Drosophila melanogaster: one gene and its partner. The protein of the gene in region 1 purifies or fractionates together with the protein of each later gene. This does not show direct contact. Each region holds a gene or a part of one and is shown on either strand. Other genes may lie near its edges.

Region 1 (6,877 bases):
CGTTAGCTCCCGATGCAGCTGTAGAGGTTTTTCTAGGATCTCGTCGTAATTGTAGAGTAGTTCTGCTTGCAGTTTATCCGGAGCAGATAGACAGGCGGCGGGTAGATCAATGGAACTGGAGTGCAACTCTTCATCCTGCTTCGCATCCACACTCTGATTCTGCATTTCCTGGCGATCTCGCCACGTCGGTACATATACCTCTGTATTTTTGCTGTGGTTGAACCGATTGCCCACAAATATGGTCGGCATGCTGTGCCGTTCTGTCGGTGAAGCTGGCAGAGGAGTGGGTGGCTCTTGGATACTCGACTCCCTGCTGAGATCATCAGGCATACTGGCCAGATTCTCGCAGGCGGTGAATGCACCGCCCAATCTAGCTGCAAAAATGGAACTCGCATCGGAACTTTGTTGTTGCAGGGAGAACGATGGCTTGACCTTAAGAATTGGCTCTTCCTCAACACAGTTTGTGATGCTGCCACCCACACCTAGCTCCAAAGTTGCCGTGGATGTGTGCACACTGGAATTTCGAGTCGTGGACTTCCGAGCCAAAGCTCTTAGTGCTCTGGATCCTATAACAAGAGACTCCTTTTTTAACTCGTTGAGCGCTAGAACTTCGTCCGTGTCCGCGGAATCCAATTTAATGAGGTTGATAGAGGAACAGTGCCTCCTGGCACCCGTGCCATGGTCCACGAATGTGCCTGTGGAGTTGCACATGGAATCGTTCCGCTTGTTTTGGTAAAACTGCACATATTCAAACGGATCCGAGTCGCAGGAATGCAAAAAATCATCTTCAAAGTCATCGTCATAGCTCTCCGAGTCCGTTGGTAGTTCAATTGCATCCTGTCGTTCCAACTCGGACTGCCCCGAATCCTGATTGGTATTGAGATCTTTTAACTTTGCAGATGCCTTGTGACAACGCCTTTTGCGCAACGCAATCCTTTTGAGATCGATGCTCTGGCGAGCCTGCGGATACAGAAGCATCTTTACGATAGCACTCCTCAGTCCGCCGCCTTTAACAAGCCTGGCAAAGTGAGCACTAAGATTGGCGTACGGAGCTGTTGCTGGGTAATTGCTTGGGGGAAGAGTCACACGGAGAGGTCGCACATGGCACGGGGGGCTGGAGTAATAGGCACACAGCGAGAATCGCGTGCAGTAGCCCCGTGAATCCAAATGTTGACTCAGCTGCTCACGGTTTAAAGTGTCGCCAAAACGAAACGATAATAAAGGTGAATATATAGGAGAAATATACTACTTACATGAGCGGCATTTAGGTGTCCTAGCGAAGAGTTGCTCAAGTTACTCAATTGCCGTTTGATGCCCATCGGCAAGCTGGGATTATTGGCATTGAGCAGCTCCACCCACTTGTTGGCCTCATTCGGACCCTGACAAACTGCTACAATGCGATCGATCAAGGGACTGCTTATCTCAAAGGCGTTCTTCAGGGCATCCGTGTCCTCCAGGCGATTCACTATGATCCCAGTTAAGGGTAGCTTGCCCTGCGTGTGAAAACAGATTACAAACAAATTCGCCATGTTGTGCTTGTGTTTCCCACCTCATAGATGAATGCACTCATCCGCTGACTAACGCTAAGGAATAGCAATGTTTGAGGGAAGAGCACAAAGTATCGGTCGCGATGATCAGCTCCAACTGCAACGCTGCCCATGTGGATGATGTCCCCGAGGGTGCTCAGCTCTTGGCCCTGCCATCCACGCACTGGCCCCGTGAGCACTTGCAGCTCCAGCTCCTTTTGGCGACGGGTGGCCGAGCAGGTGGCAGCTATGTCTTTGTACACGGCAACACTCCGCTGGGTGTCGCCGCGATCCGGATGACTGCTCTCCATATGCCGCTCCAGCTCCTGCAGCATGGCCGAGTATTTGTCCAGTCGCCGGAAGGGCTTTGATAGACCCGTCGTGAGCACAAGTAATCCAGGAGTGGCTGCGCCCTGTCGTTCCATATACTTTTCCAGCTCGTCCCTTTTGGAATAGAAAAAAATTTATATTTATTAACAATTGAACACCACAATATATGTATATAAAGCGAGGAGCACATACTTGTACTTATCCAGTATGACAATGGCCTTTGGATGGGCAGCGCAGTACGCCTGGTGCACCTTCTTCATCAAGGGGGCGCTGGTGAGAAATAGTTTTCCCACTCGATCGTTGCACTCCTCGATCTGGATAAGCAAATCCTCGTGCGTACGCACAATCTCTACAAAGTTACACATCAGCTGGGCGTACTCATCCTGACTGAGTCTGTAGAAGAAGCCCTTTTAGATTATATTCAAATTATGTCAGAGAATAGAGAACTTACATTTGCGTCTGTTGCATGGGCTCCAAGAAATTCTCGAGCAGACCCTGCAGCTCGGCCACATGGGCGCGCTCCGAGTCAAGCAGATCCTTGAGCACCACAGACCGATACTCCTGGATCTCCTCCGGCGGCCTTATGGTCTCCGTTAGAGGCAGCTGCACCTTGCACTCATTCACATAGTTGCTGGGAAACCAGCCAGTCTTATCGTTCAGCGTTCCCTCCCACCAGCCACCATCCTCGCGCTGGGTAACCGTGATGACATCGCCCTTCTGGAAGCACAGCTCGTCGTTATTGCTGCCCATGAAGGAGTACTCCGCCTGCACCACCAGTGGCTGATCCATTATCGGATTGTTCAGGGCTGATCCGAGTGCGCACTAGATTGATTCAACTGAAACGAGGCGATGGGTATTGAACTTGAAACATCAGCCAGGCAATTTGCTCAATGAAAAAGCATATGTGAGCATATCGCTCGTTATATACAGCACCTACGCATTATTGCAGCGATGAGCTACATCATCGTCGATCGCTCGGCATTCCTCAGCCTCTTGGAATTAGCCGAGCAATAATTATGGCCCCAAAGAAGAAAACATTTTGAAAACATCTGTCGAGAAACGCGTGCGCAAGTTTCTTGACACTTTTCCGGCGACTCCCCTCCGGCTTTTCTTTCCTAGTTTACTGCAAGTGTCTGGAAAACTCGTGCGCTACACGATGGCCAAGGTCACACAAGCTGCGAGGATCCATTAAAAAATTGGGTAAAAATCACTCGCGCGTATTGTGAAAGAAAAACTTTTCGGGCCATAAAAACAATTTGAATAGCCGGACAGGACAGGCCAACATATAAATCATAAACAACGGCCACGTCGCGTCTAAAAATATTTACGACCTTTTTTATTTGGTTTGTTCGAACAACTCTTTAAGAGATCAACATTTCATTCAATCGTTAAACACTTTCGTTGACGGAAATGGGATTGGCACATTGGATTCTAAAGGCAAGTGCACTCTATACATCAGATATCTATAGAAAGAAGTAAAATCGCAATATTTTCGAATGCCTCGAAAATTATATTACGACATTGTTACTCACAAAAACCCCCAATATTCCAAAGCTTAATTGAAATGGTCTCTTGTATGAGTGGCACTAGGGGGCTAGTTAGTGGATGTCATTATTTTTAAAGTCGTTTATAAAAGTCTTTAGCCTAGTCTATTCGTTGGTACTATTTAAAATTGGCAGCGCGACGTGTGCTTTTATTAATATAGGAATTCCTATGTTTATGCAAAAATTCAATTCTGGACTGAAAATGTTAAAAAGTGATATATTTTCTAAAAATAGATGCATCACATTTGTTTGCTATTGCCGCAATGAGTAAACGCAAAAATATGAACAACTTGGTTTATTTTGCCCAAATAGTTTTCTAGAATACTAAAAATAAAAAACAGACGAAAGTGTACATATTGGCGGATCGCAAGTTCTATATGCCAAACTGGAACGTGTAGTTTTTCACGAATTATTACCGCTCTCATGAGATTGTCAAGATTTATAGGCTGATGAGAATATTTCCCTAAGGCAAGGTCACGTTTTGGTTGCACAAACGCATGAAAATTTCTTAAAATGTCACTTTTTCGCCATCTAGGCACTCGAATACATATACCCGCTACTCTTTTGTATAGATGGGTGATATATACTTTTTCGACAATAAATTGTGGTACGACAATTTGACGTTTTTCGCCGTTTTTCTGCTCTCAGACGATGCACCGCACGCGTTCATTGCTTCAGCGAAACTGCCGAGAAAAGCGGAAAATACCGAAAAGCTGGCGACATATGGCAGACGAATTTTCCACGGCAACCGAAAGTGCCACTCTCGCAGTCATTTTCTGAGAGTCTCGTCGGATCGCAGGAGATTCGAATATATTTTCACATGTACGCGAGCGTTTTCGACCGGACACATCGCATATTTTCATGAAAAATCAACAGAGATGTGACAAAAAATATGAATCCGGGGACAACCTTTTCATCTGCGTTTCCAAAATGAGGATCTTAATTGTATTTCATTGAGAAATAAGCGACACTCGCTGTGCTTTTGTATTGTCTATTCAAAAAAACCACATAAAAATATTTGTGCCAAAATATATGTGGGTTGCCTATTGGATGTGAGATCTTCCATGTTTGTGGATTCAGTCATCAATCGAAAACTTCTTCATATTCAAGCATTTTAGAATTATTTCAGAAAAATTCACCTGTTCCGCTCAGTTTCCTGTTGATCATACAATATATGCCCGTGAATCATAGGAAACGTTTATGGAATGTGTAGACTTGTATAATCTAAAATTTAGAATCGTGCGACACACATTGTGGTTTTAATGGGATTATGGCCTCAGGAAATGTTAAATTCGTCATATTTTTAGAATTTAAGATAGAATATAAATCAAATTTAACCCAAAGACTTTCATTCTGAGACAAACAAGGAGGCTGGAACTGTAAACTCTACTGAATAAAGATGTTGAAGCTTATAGACCGACGGAGAATTTTTGAGCTAGAGTGACCAAGAACTAAATATTTTTTCCACAGAATATTCGTATTCAAATCTGCCGAGATCAGAATGTCGGCAAAAAATATGCTTTATAAGTGCAGCGCCAAACCCAAGCCGAATGTATGTCACTTTCCTTCGCTTCGTTTAACCCTGAAATCACTTTAAGTCCATGGCCGGGCACAATCAAATTTCCGTAGGTGGTGGTGCTCCAAACGATGCATCGGAGGTCAGATGAGCAGATGCATAAATGCAGATACCGAGCGGCACACACGCAGATATGTGGGCACATACAAAGATGCATACATACCCCATTGAAGCTCTCGGAACCAAATTTTAATTAATTCATTAAACTTGCACATGGCGCCGCGCGGATCGGCTATGCGGCCCCATATCCAGATACAGATACAGATACAAGTTTCAGATACAGATACACCGGGCCCACGCTCTCTGAGTATAAGAGACAACTCTTTCGGTTATTAACGATCCGTCGCCGAAGGCGAAATTCAAATGAATATCCCTGCCGCTTCCGGAAATGCGCAATTTGGCGAGTAAAACGTCGCATCCATCGGAGGGGAGCACCCCAAATCAAATCACCGAATGTTTATTTTCGTGGGACACTGGGGAACGTAAACAACAAAGACGAGAGATGTAAAAGAAAGGCGAGTGGATTGTTTTGCTTGGCAAAGTCAGCGGCAAAGACAAACAAAGTCAGCCAAAGACAAACCAAATTTATGCAGTTCTGCCTGGTCGGGACCGGATCCGAATCGCTATCCCTACTAGCTCAGCCGAACTGCACTCAATAAGGCCTCTTCAATGTGTCAATACCGAGATTTACAGGCTGCACAGCCGCCACTTGAGATGCATTTCCTCAGATATATGGACGTAATATAGTTTGATTGCGTCGCTCGCCGTATTTATAGATACTTCGTGGCGGAGGAAGTCATCGGTGGCTGTGGGCACACCGAAGAGGTGAGCGAGTGGGAGTTCCAATAGCTTGTGGGGATCCGCTGTTCTCGACACCAACACACCAAGAACGAGGTCAGCAGCGGAAATATGAAGAAACGCGGTTTCCCAGCAGACACGAGTGAAAATCAGGCGCATGATTTGACGGCCAATGTTTGTTTTGGGAAATCACAGGCCCACATACAGATATTGCCAACATGCTTTCATTAAAGCGTAAGAATAACAACCATAGGGCGCAAAGAGCCAAGTGGTTCGACGAGATCTTACCCTAGACTTTTTCACATTCCCCACATAAATATATACAAACAAATATAACTTTTTAAACCATGAAATAATTCAATTTGATTTAAATAATATTTTCTAGGGTAGCTATTTATTTTGCAAACTGCTTTTGACCTGGTGGCCGAAACCAAGATCATGTGAGAGTAAAGAAAAGCATGAATTTGCATTCAGCTTGCCACCACCTTTCATAGGAAATTCTCTTGGCAGCGGTTCAAAATTGTTCGGGTAATGATGCTTGTTGGTTCTGGGAATCCAATGGGGGAGTTTGGGGCCGGGAGGCAGGTGGCATGCGGCAGGCAGCGGCAGGCAGAACGTGCCTCCGTCGTCGTCCGGCAGTGCATTTTACTTTCGCAGCGAGTGCTAGCAAACAAACGCTTTTCGGGAGGAGCTGGAACGGATGCCCCACGAGGAGCCCTGCTATTGACCCAATGGATTATGCAGGCGGACCTCTGAACTCCAGAAACCGGCAACAAATTACTATTGCACGAGCAGCAGCAAGTTGAACAACAGTTGTGCCGAAAGTACAGGAGTCATTACATAAAATGTATTCTTGAGCTTTAAGCTTTAAATGTCCTTTGTTGGGACTAAACGATTGAAACTGTTTTTAACGTAAATAGGATTTTGTCATGTGTCTAAAAATGTATTAGATTTTCTATATAAATATGTTGCTTAAAAGAAAGTGTTGAAATACAAAAAAAAAAAAAAAAAAAAAAAAAAACCAATAATTCAGTCAACTAAATGCTTCTTGTAAGAGATATCTTCATCGATGAAGAATTTAGCAGTATGGGTATATTAAAATC
Region 2 (7,036 bases), on another chromosome or scaffold:
AATATCTGAAATGAAATATTTACTCCCTTAAAGATGTTACGACGTGCGTCCTTGGATGACCTGGAGCAGTCCACATGCGATTTGGCGCCACAACTGGAGCACCGTATCGTTATGATTCAAAACGAAGAAGTAATATACAATATTCTGTATATTTAATATAACAATTGACACTAAGCAATCCTTATTCCCGCAGCATCATCGACAGTTACTGTTCAAAAAGGAGACGCACATAATGAATTCCACAATCACCGAAGCTGAGGACGAGTAAAGAACTACCAAAAGTCATTTGATTTACAATTTGCATTTAATTTATTGTATTCTTTATTTCTTTTTCGTTTTTTCTAGTTACAAGAAAATAAGACAAATTGATTTAGGGACAGGTTCCGATGTGGAGAGAAACATTTGAGTACGGTTTAGGCAAAAGCAAAGCGAAGATATAACCATTTAGCTAGTTAGATAGTTGGCAGATCTGTGGGATCGTGTCCTATATTATTACCGTTTATTGTTAATGCTCCACTGTTTTTTTCGGCTAAGTTTCGTTGTGAACGTTTGTAAGACTTCCCCAGAGATATTGATATTGATATTGTATATGATGCATGTGTAGTGAGTACGTGTACCTAAAGCTTACCGCTAGTTTAATTTACTTTTAATTAGATAAACTGATTTACACAACCAACTGATTATTATTACTGTAACTACAGAGCAGCCCTTATGTTTTGTGATCTAGATAACGAAAAGAGTTTGAGCCGAGCTTTTGGGAAAAAACCTTCAGATATTCCAAGTAGTTGTTTTTAAAAAATCCCGAGTCCACGAACACAATCAAATACTGTAGGTTGTACGCAAGCAAATGAAAACCACTGGACCGCGACGAGGAGGACTACGAGTAGCAAACTGAAGGGGCAAGCAGATGTAAAGTGAATGTTAAGCAATATTTTAGACAATGCACCTAGATTTTGAATGTCAAAATGGGATGTGTATATTTTTATGGACACTTTTGGTGCGCTTCGAACATGGCAGAGCATATTATTTTTTAGAGACCGCGAGCACAGTCGTGCAACACTCATGGATAAATGCTTTAATCTTAAATAGTTCCTTGAACTTGCACACCACAACCACCACGAGTGTATTTTTGTCCATAGGCGAGCAATCCGACCACCAGCCGGAGGTCAGAAAAACAGCCAGAGCAAAGGCAGCAGCTACCCACTCAATTACACAAAGTTAAACAATAAGTAGAGGAAGCCACTTATACATATGTACTCCATGCTTAACTGATTGTCCATGCTTAGAACGTACAGTTAACTAAAGTGAACAATATACAGGCTCAAAATGCACCTGATTATTAAAATTATAAAGGACCCATAAATATATATATATATACACAGATATCGTAAATCTTTCCACCTCCTTTGTCTCCCCCCCTTTGAATTTGAGGGCCAATCCTTCAACACTTTTAAACTATTTTGCAATGGGTCATTAGCCCGTAGAAGAACGCATTTTGTGTATATTGAACGAAGTACATTGATTTATGTAAACATTTATTAAATACATAAACTATATGTAAAGGGGATTCTTTAAATTATTTGGCGGAAGCACTTTTGTTAGTCAGCAGGGCACTAAAGTGGTCGGTTAATACTTCAAAAAAGAGTGAGTGAGTTTAAACTTCTATGTCGATGATTGTGTTTTGGGCGTCTCAATAGAACTGCAACACCAAAGTCTTTATGGCACTGGCAATGTGGAAGGCGCAGTCGCGCACCTCCAAGGTGTTCTTCTGTATGGCCTGCTTGTCATCCGCCTCGATGGCTTTCTGCAGATTCTCGCACTCGTGCTGGATGAGAATGTTCTGGCGGGTTAGCAGTTTAAGGGTTTCGCGAGACGGGTCACTGGCATTCGGTGGCTAAAATATATGTTTATGATTATGAAACATCCTTATAAAGGAAGCCCCTATGTTCATCTTACCAAATTGGCATAAAGGGCAATTAAATCAGTCACGGCACTTCGTATAAGCTCTCCATGTGGAGCAATCGACTGCTTTTGATCCTCTGGCACTGGCTGCATAGCTCTTATGAGCTCCTTAAGACGGCGTGTGACCAAGTCAGAGCGCACTTTGACCTCCTCACCAAAAGGTTTGCCATCCCCAGCCATTTGGTACATGCTGGTCGTATTTCGTATGTCCGTATTGCCCTTGGCCACATTGGGTACCAAACGACGCTCGTACATGCTGGCTGGACGCTTGATGGTCGATTGATTTGACGAATCATTGGAGGAGCCGCTTTCCCCATTGGCAGTCCCACCTTCGGGTAGCGACAGAGGCTCGTGCTCTGTATCCGGACTGCTCAAGCTCAGATCAATGCGACTATGCAAAGGAAAATTTAAAACAAATCATAAAAATAAAGCTAGCCAAATAAATTCAAATGAAAAATCTCACAGTGGCTCATCGTACACGCTGTTGTTCGATGCGCTCGAGAACTTGGACTTGAGCTGCGTGTTCTCGCTGGACAGCATCTGCACCACGTTCTTTAGCTGATTGATCTCCGATTTGTAATCGTTCAGCTGTTTGCGCAGCGTTTCCATTTCGTTGTGCGAATTCGCGCTGCGCGGTGGCGTATGCACAATGGCCTAAGTAAAATAAAAAGCATAAAAACAAGGAAAATAAATCAATATAAATCAAGTACAACTAATAATTACAAAATCTTTAAAAATAAATATTGCATAAAAACAAAAGGCAAGGCAGACAAATCACGGTACCAACTACTACTTATTTAAACTACATTTTCACAAGTATCAGCTAGTTTTATTGAGGCTTATGTTCTACATTTGGACTTCTACCTTTGAAAATGGATTAGGTTGCCTAAAATCAGGGAGCTATAGTGCCCTGGCCTACGGATGAACACAATGGGTACAGCACGGGTTGTCTAAATGTCAGTCTTCGCTTACGCTTCTAGCCAAAGCTATTGTTCAGCTTGAGTATCTTTTGCCGCATTAGGTTTACCTGCTGGGCCATTGGTGGCACTGGGGCATAGTCGTCATCGCTGGCCACCGGATCATAAATGGGCTCGTCGTCCGACAGATTCGGATCATGACCGCCCTGCTCGAACGAGCCGAGCAGCATTGAGTTGTTGGCATACGGCAGCGATTGCAGCGACTGGTGCCCGGCCACTGGGGCATCCATTGGACGCAGGTTGGCCATATTCTGGCGTCGCATAGCATCGACGAGCACGTCGGTCAAGAGACCAGTGAACTCGGCGCGATTGAAGCGTGCCAATTTCTGACGACCCTGTAGGCGAGACCATGTCAATGAATGAAGGTTCGAATCATTAATGTACGGCGAGGTCAAACCTGATTGCGCGTGGCGCTCAAAAATGGATTAGCCGGCAAAAATGGCACAGTTGCATGATCAGCATTCAGGGTGCTTGTCGACCAGACTATTTCGTTAAGAAAAATAAGATTAGCTTTGTTTGTAGTCTATGTTTAGCAGTCATACTCACTGGCTTCGCACTCGCGTCTGTCCACCTCATCGTATAGGTCCATGACCAGCTCCTCAAACATCTTATTTGGCACGAGTTGCAACTTTCCACGTGCAATCTTCAGTTGCTCGCTTATGTCCGCGCCATTGGCATCCGGAATAATCATGTGGCGGCCACTCTACGTATGGAAATAGTATTTAAATAGAACGGAATAAGGAAATGGGTAGGAAAGGTCGAGTCAACTGTGCATTTGCTCATGGAAATATGAATCCATTAAATAAATATAGTTCTGTGACTAACAAAAATTTAAATAGATAGTTATAAACTTTAGACTGAAGACAACTTAAGGAGTTACAAGGATATAGCTTAATTGGCTTAATACATATATGATTAATCAATGGATAAGGTTAAATGGTTTGTCCAATTAAAGTATAATTTCACTCTGCAGGTAATTAAAGATCTAAACTCACCGCATGATCTGGCTTCTTGCCACCTAGGAAGGTAATGATCCTGTCGGTGACATCGTACATGGCATCAAGCAGTCTTTCGGCGATGGTGTTATGATTGTTGGCCCTGGCCAGTTCCAGAGGAGTCATCCCATTGCCATCCAAGGCATTCACATCGGCTCCATAGATGAGCAGCATCTCGATTTGTGATGCCTGGCCAAACTTGGCGGCCATGTGAAGTGGCGTTGATAGCTTGTCCTCGTGGTAGTAATTTGGGTCTGCACCCTGGACCAAGAAGCGCAGTGAAGTCTCTAGATTGCTGGTCCGCACGCTGGCATGGAGCTGTCTACTCAGCTCCTGTTCCAGACAGCCCGCTGAGCCATTGCCATCATCGTCATCCTGGAGACTGGGTTTTAGCACGAACGTTAGATTCACATGCTTGGCCTTAATAAAATCGGATTTGGTGGGATGGAGTGCATCCTTGGGCGTGGGTTTCCGCCAGCGTGGCACGTGCTTTCCGCCGGTGGAGTTGGTGCTGCCATCCAGCAGATGATGCTCCCAAACACTATTGGCTCCATGGGCGTTTAGAGAGTTCACAAAGTTCAGAACCGAGGGCTCCCAGTTACCCTGGCGTAGAGACTTCACAATGGAGATGTGCCTGCCCAGACTGCGGTGCACCGAACAGCAGTCGGCGCAGAGAAGGATGCCCCGGTTGATGCTCGCCCAGGATGGATCACCAGCTCCGCAATCGCCACAAACTTCGGTTTGCAGGCGGGATTTCCCCCTCGGCATTTTGGATCTGGTCGAAATCGTGGGTGTGGCTGGATCGGAATGATCCAAATCCGGCGGCGCTATAAATAACTTCCTGTGCGCTTCGATTATACTGCTGGCGAAACACATTCAGCATTCCAAGACGCTCACAAGCTGCAGGGGAGATACGAAAAATAGAATACCGAAGTTGAAAAAAAACTCGGACAATCTCAAGTGACTTCGTTGTGAGTCAGTTGCAAGCTGTTGGCTTTCTGATTGGAAATCCGAAACGCTGGCGGTGAAAGGTCAAATATCAGCAACTGGGGCTCACCCCTGGCCATCAATTAGGAAAATTACTTTTAATTAAACGCGGGGAGCAGCAGAAGAAAACATTTGCGGACGCCTTTTCCGAGTTTGTTTTAGTTATTTTGCGCACCAGTGTGACCAAACAGTAGCAGTGGAAAAGCGCTAGATTTGAAGTGAAAAGGCTGACGAATGTAGCAGCTGTGTTTGTGCCTTTTCAAATTTTAAAATCCATCATATACCCAGTATTACAGAAGTTGCAATATTTATTCGGTCAAAATTTTGCAATGGTCTGCAATACCGAAAAATCAAAAACCAAACAGGTGTAACTTTCGTAACTAGCCCTGCCAGACTTTTCAATATTGTCGGCTGGCCTCACTATTCCAGCTTCTTCACAACATATAGTTGTCTCACTTGCACTCCCTTAGAAATCATATGTTTATGAACAGATGAGACAGTTTTAGAAGCACTGCATTATTTGAAGCACATGTGCCAAAACAAAACAATTTCGCCGACATTCAATTCGAATTTAGTTGTCATTAAAAAATAGAAGTGCAACATTAGCATGCAAGTGGAGAATCTGCATACTTCAGTGGCCTGCAACCGCTGCACGGAATGCGCGGATTGGGGTCCAAATGGTTGGATTGCCTATGGGGCATGTAACGCCATAGCCATTATGGATCCAAAGGTAGGAAATTTTGCCTTTACTGGAAACATAGTATATTTAACCAATTTTTAGTTTCAAGGCAACTCAGCCAAGGTCCTGTTCACGCTGGTGGAGCACACAAAGCGAGTAAACACTGTGAGGTGGTTGGATTGCGACAAACTTCTTTCCGGCGGAGATGATGCAATTGCTATTCTCTGGGAACTGGATGAAACGGGAACGACTAAGAGCTTCACTCTCAAAGGACACACAAGTGGCGTAAATACTGTGGATGGAATTCGCCAACAGGATGGCTCCTGGCTTTTGGCGACCGCAGCAGCAGATACCACCATCAAGTTGTGGACTTTCCAGGATAATAATTATGTGTGCTTTCAAACCATATCTTTATCCGACGGATTCTGCTTCTGTCTTCGACTGCAGCTGCTGCCCAAGAGCAACCAGGTTCTGCTCGCCTTCAGTGGCGATGACGAGACTGTTTCCCTGTGGTCGGAACAGGTAGAAACCGCAGGTGAAGGAGATTCACTAGGTCGGCAGTTCCAACGCAAACACAAGCTCACTGGCCACGAAGACTGGGTTCGAGGTCTGGATTTCGTTGTCGATGGCGAGGATTTGCTGCTGGCCAGTGGCTCTCAGGATAACTTTATTCGTCTCTGGCGGATTGCGCCGCGCAGCAAAGAGCAAATGCAAGAGAATCGGGTTGATCTGCATCAATTGAGCCACAACGACGATGAGATAAAGGTGGAGGAGAAGATACTACAACTGGGGAAAGAAGCCTGGTATGCAGTGAGCTTGGAATCGGTTCTATATGGACATGAGGGATGGATTTATGGGGTCCACTGGCACAAAACACCCGATCAAGGTAAAGCACAGCAATTGAACTCCCCAAAGACCTTTCAAAAACGTTATCCATTTAGAGCTCCGCCTTCTATCCGCTTCTATTGACAAGACCGTCATAATTTGGGCACCTACGGAAGAAGGCATTTGGTTGGAAGAAGTTCGCGTGGGTGAAGTGGGTGGAAACTCCGTGGGCTTCTATGGTGGAAAGTTCTCCGGCGATGGACACTCGATCATGGCCCACAGCTACCAAGGTGGCTTTCATATTTGGAGCCAAGATCCAGATCGGCCACAGCTCTGGACCCCAGGTGTCATCGTTGGTGGTCATTATGGCGAAGTGAGGGATCTGGCTTGGGAACATAGCGGCGCCTATTTGATGACCGCGTCTGCAGACCAAACAACTCGACTGCACGCTCCGTGGCTACAGGATGGAGCTAATCCCACGTGGCACGAGCTGGCTCGTCCACAAATTCATGGATATGATATGCAGGCGTTGGCTTTGCTTTCACGTTATAAATTTGCCAGCGGAGCTGAGGAAAAGATTGTGCGCACTTTTCAAGCGCCAGCCAACTTCA

What was found. The genes of interacting proteins can lie anywhere in the genome.
Region 2: the proteins of RtGEF (region 1) and Git purify together in Drosophila melanogaster (affinity purification with western blotting; 2 studies listed by BioGRID, with this or other methods). This does not show direct contact.

What each region holds. Positions count from the first base shown.
Region 1 is NT_033779.5:20,351,178-20,358,054, reverse strand, and holds the start of RtGEF (Rho-type guanine nucleotide exchange factor), read right to left. Parts: upstream 4,089-6,877; 5' UTR 3,988-4,088; intron 2,693-3,987; 5' UTR 2,646-2,692; coding exon 2,308-2,645; intron 2,250-2,307; coding exon 2,049-2,249; intron 1,971-2,048; coding exon 1,550-1,970; intron 1,494-1,549; coding exon 1,254-1,493; intron 1,180-1,253; coding exon 1-1,179.
Region 2 is NT_033778.4:10,640,321-10,647,356, forward strand, and holds Git (G protein-coupled receptor kinase interacting ArfGAP), read right to left. Parts: upstream 5,108-7,036; 5' UTR 5,018-5,107; intron 4,835-5,017; 5' UTR 4,811-4,834; coding exon 3,935-4,810; intron 3,643-3,934; coding exon 3,486-3,642; intron 3,423-3,485; coding exon 3,337-3,422; intron 3,275-3,336; coding exon 2,990-3,274; intron 2,617-2,989; coding exon 2,426-2,616; intron 2,354-2,425; coding exon 1,957-2,353; intron 1,895-1,956; coding exon 1,691-1,894; 3' UTR 1,498-1,690; downstream 1-1,497. Other genes in the region: CG11883 (uncharacterized protein), read left to right, coding at 34-129, 194-268; Elp2 (elongator complex protein 2), read left to right, coding at 5,529-5,651, 5,703-6,486, 6,542-7,036. UniProt on the Drosophila melanogaster protein: GTPase-activating protein for ADP ribosylation factor family members, including ARF1.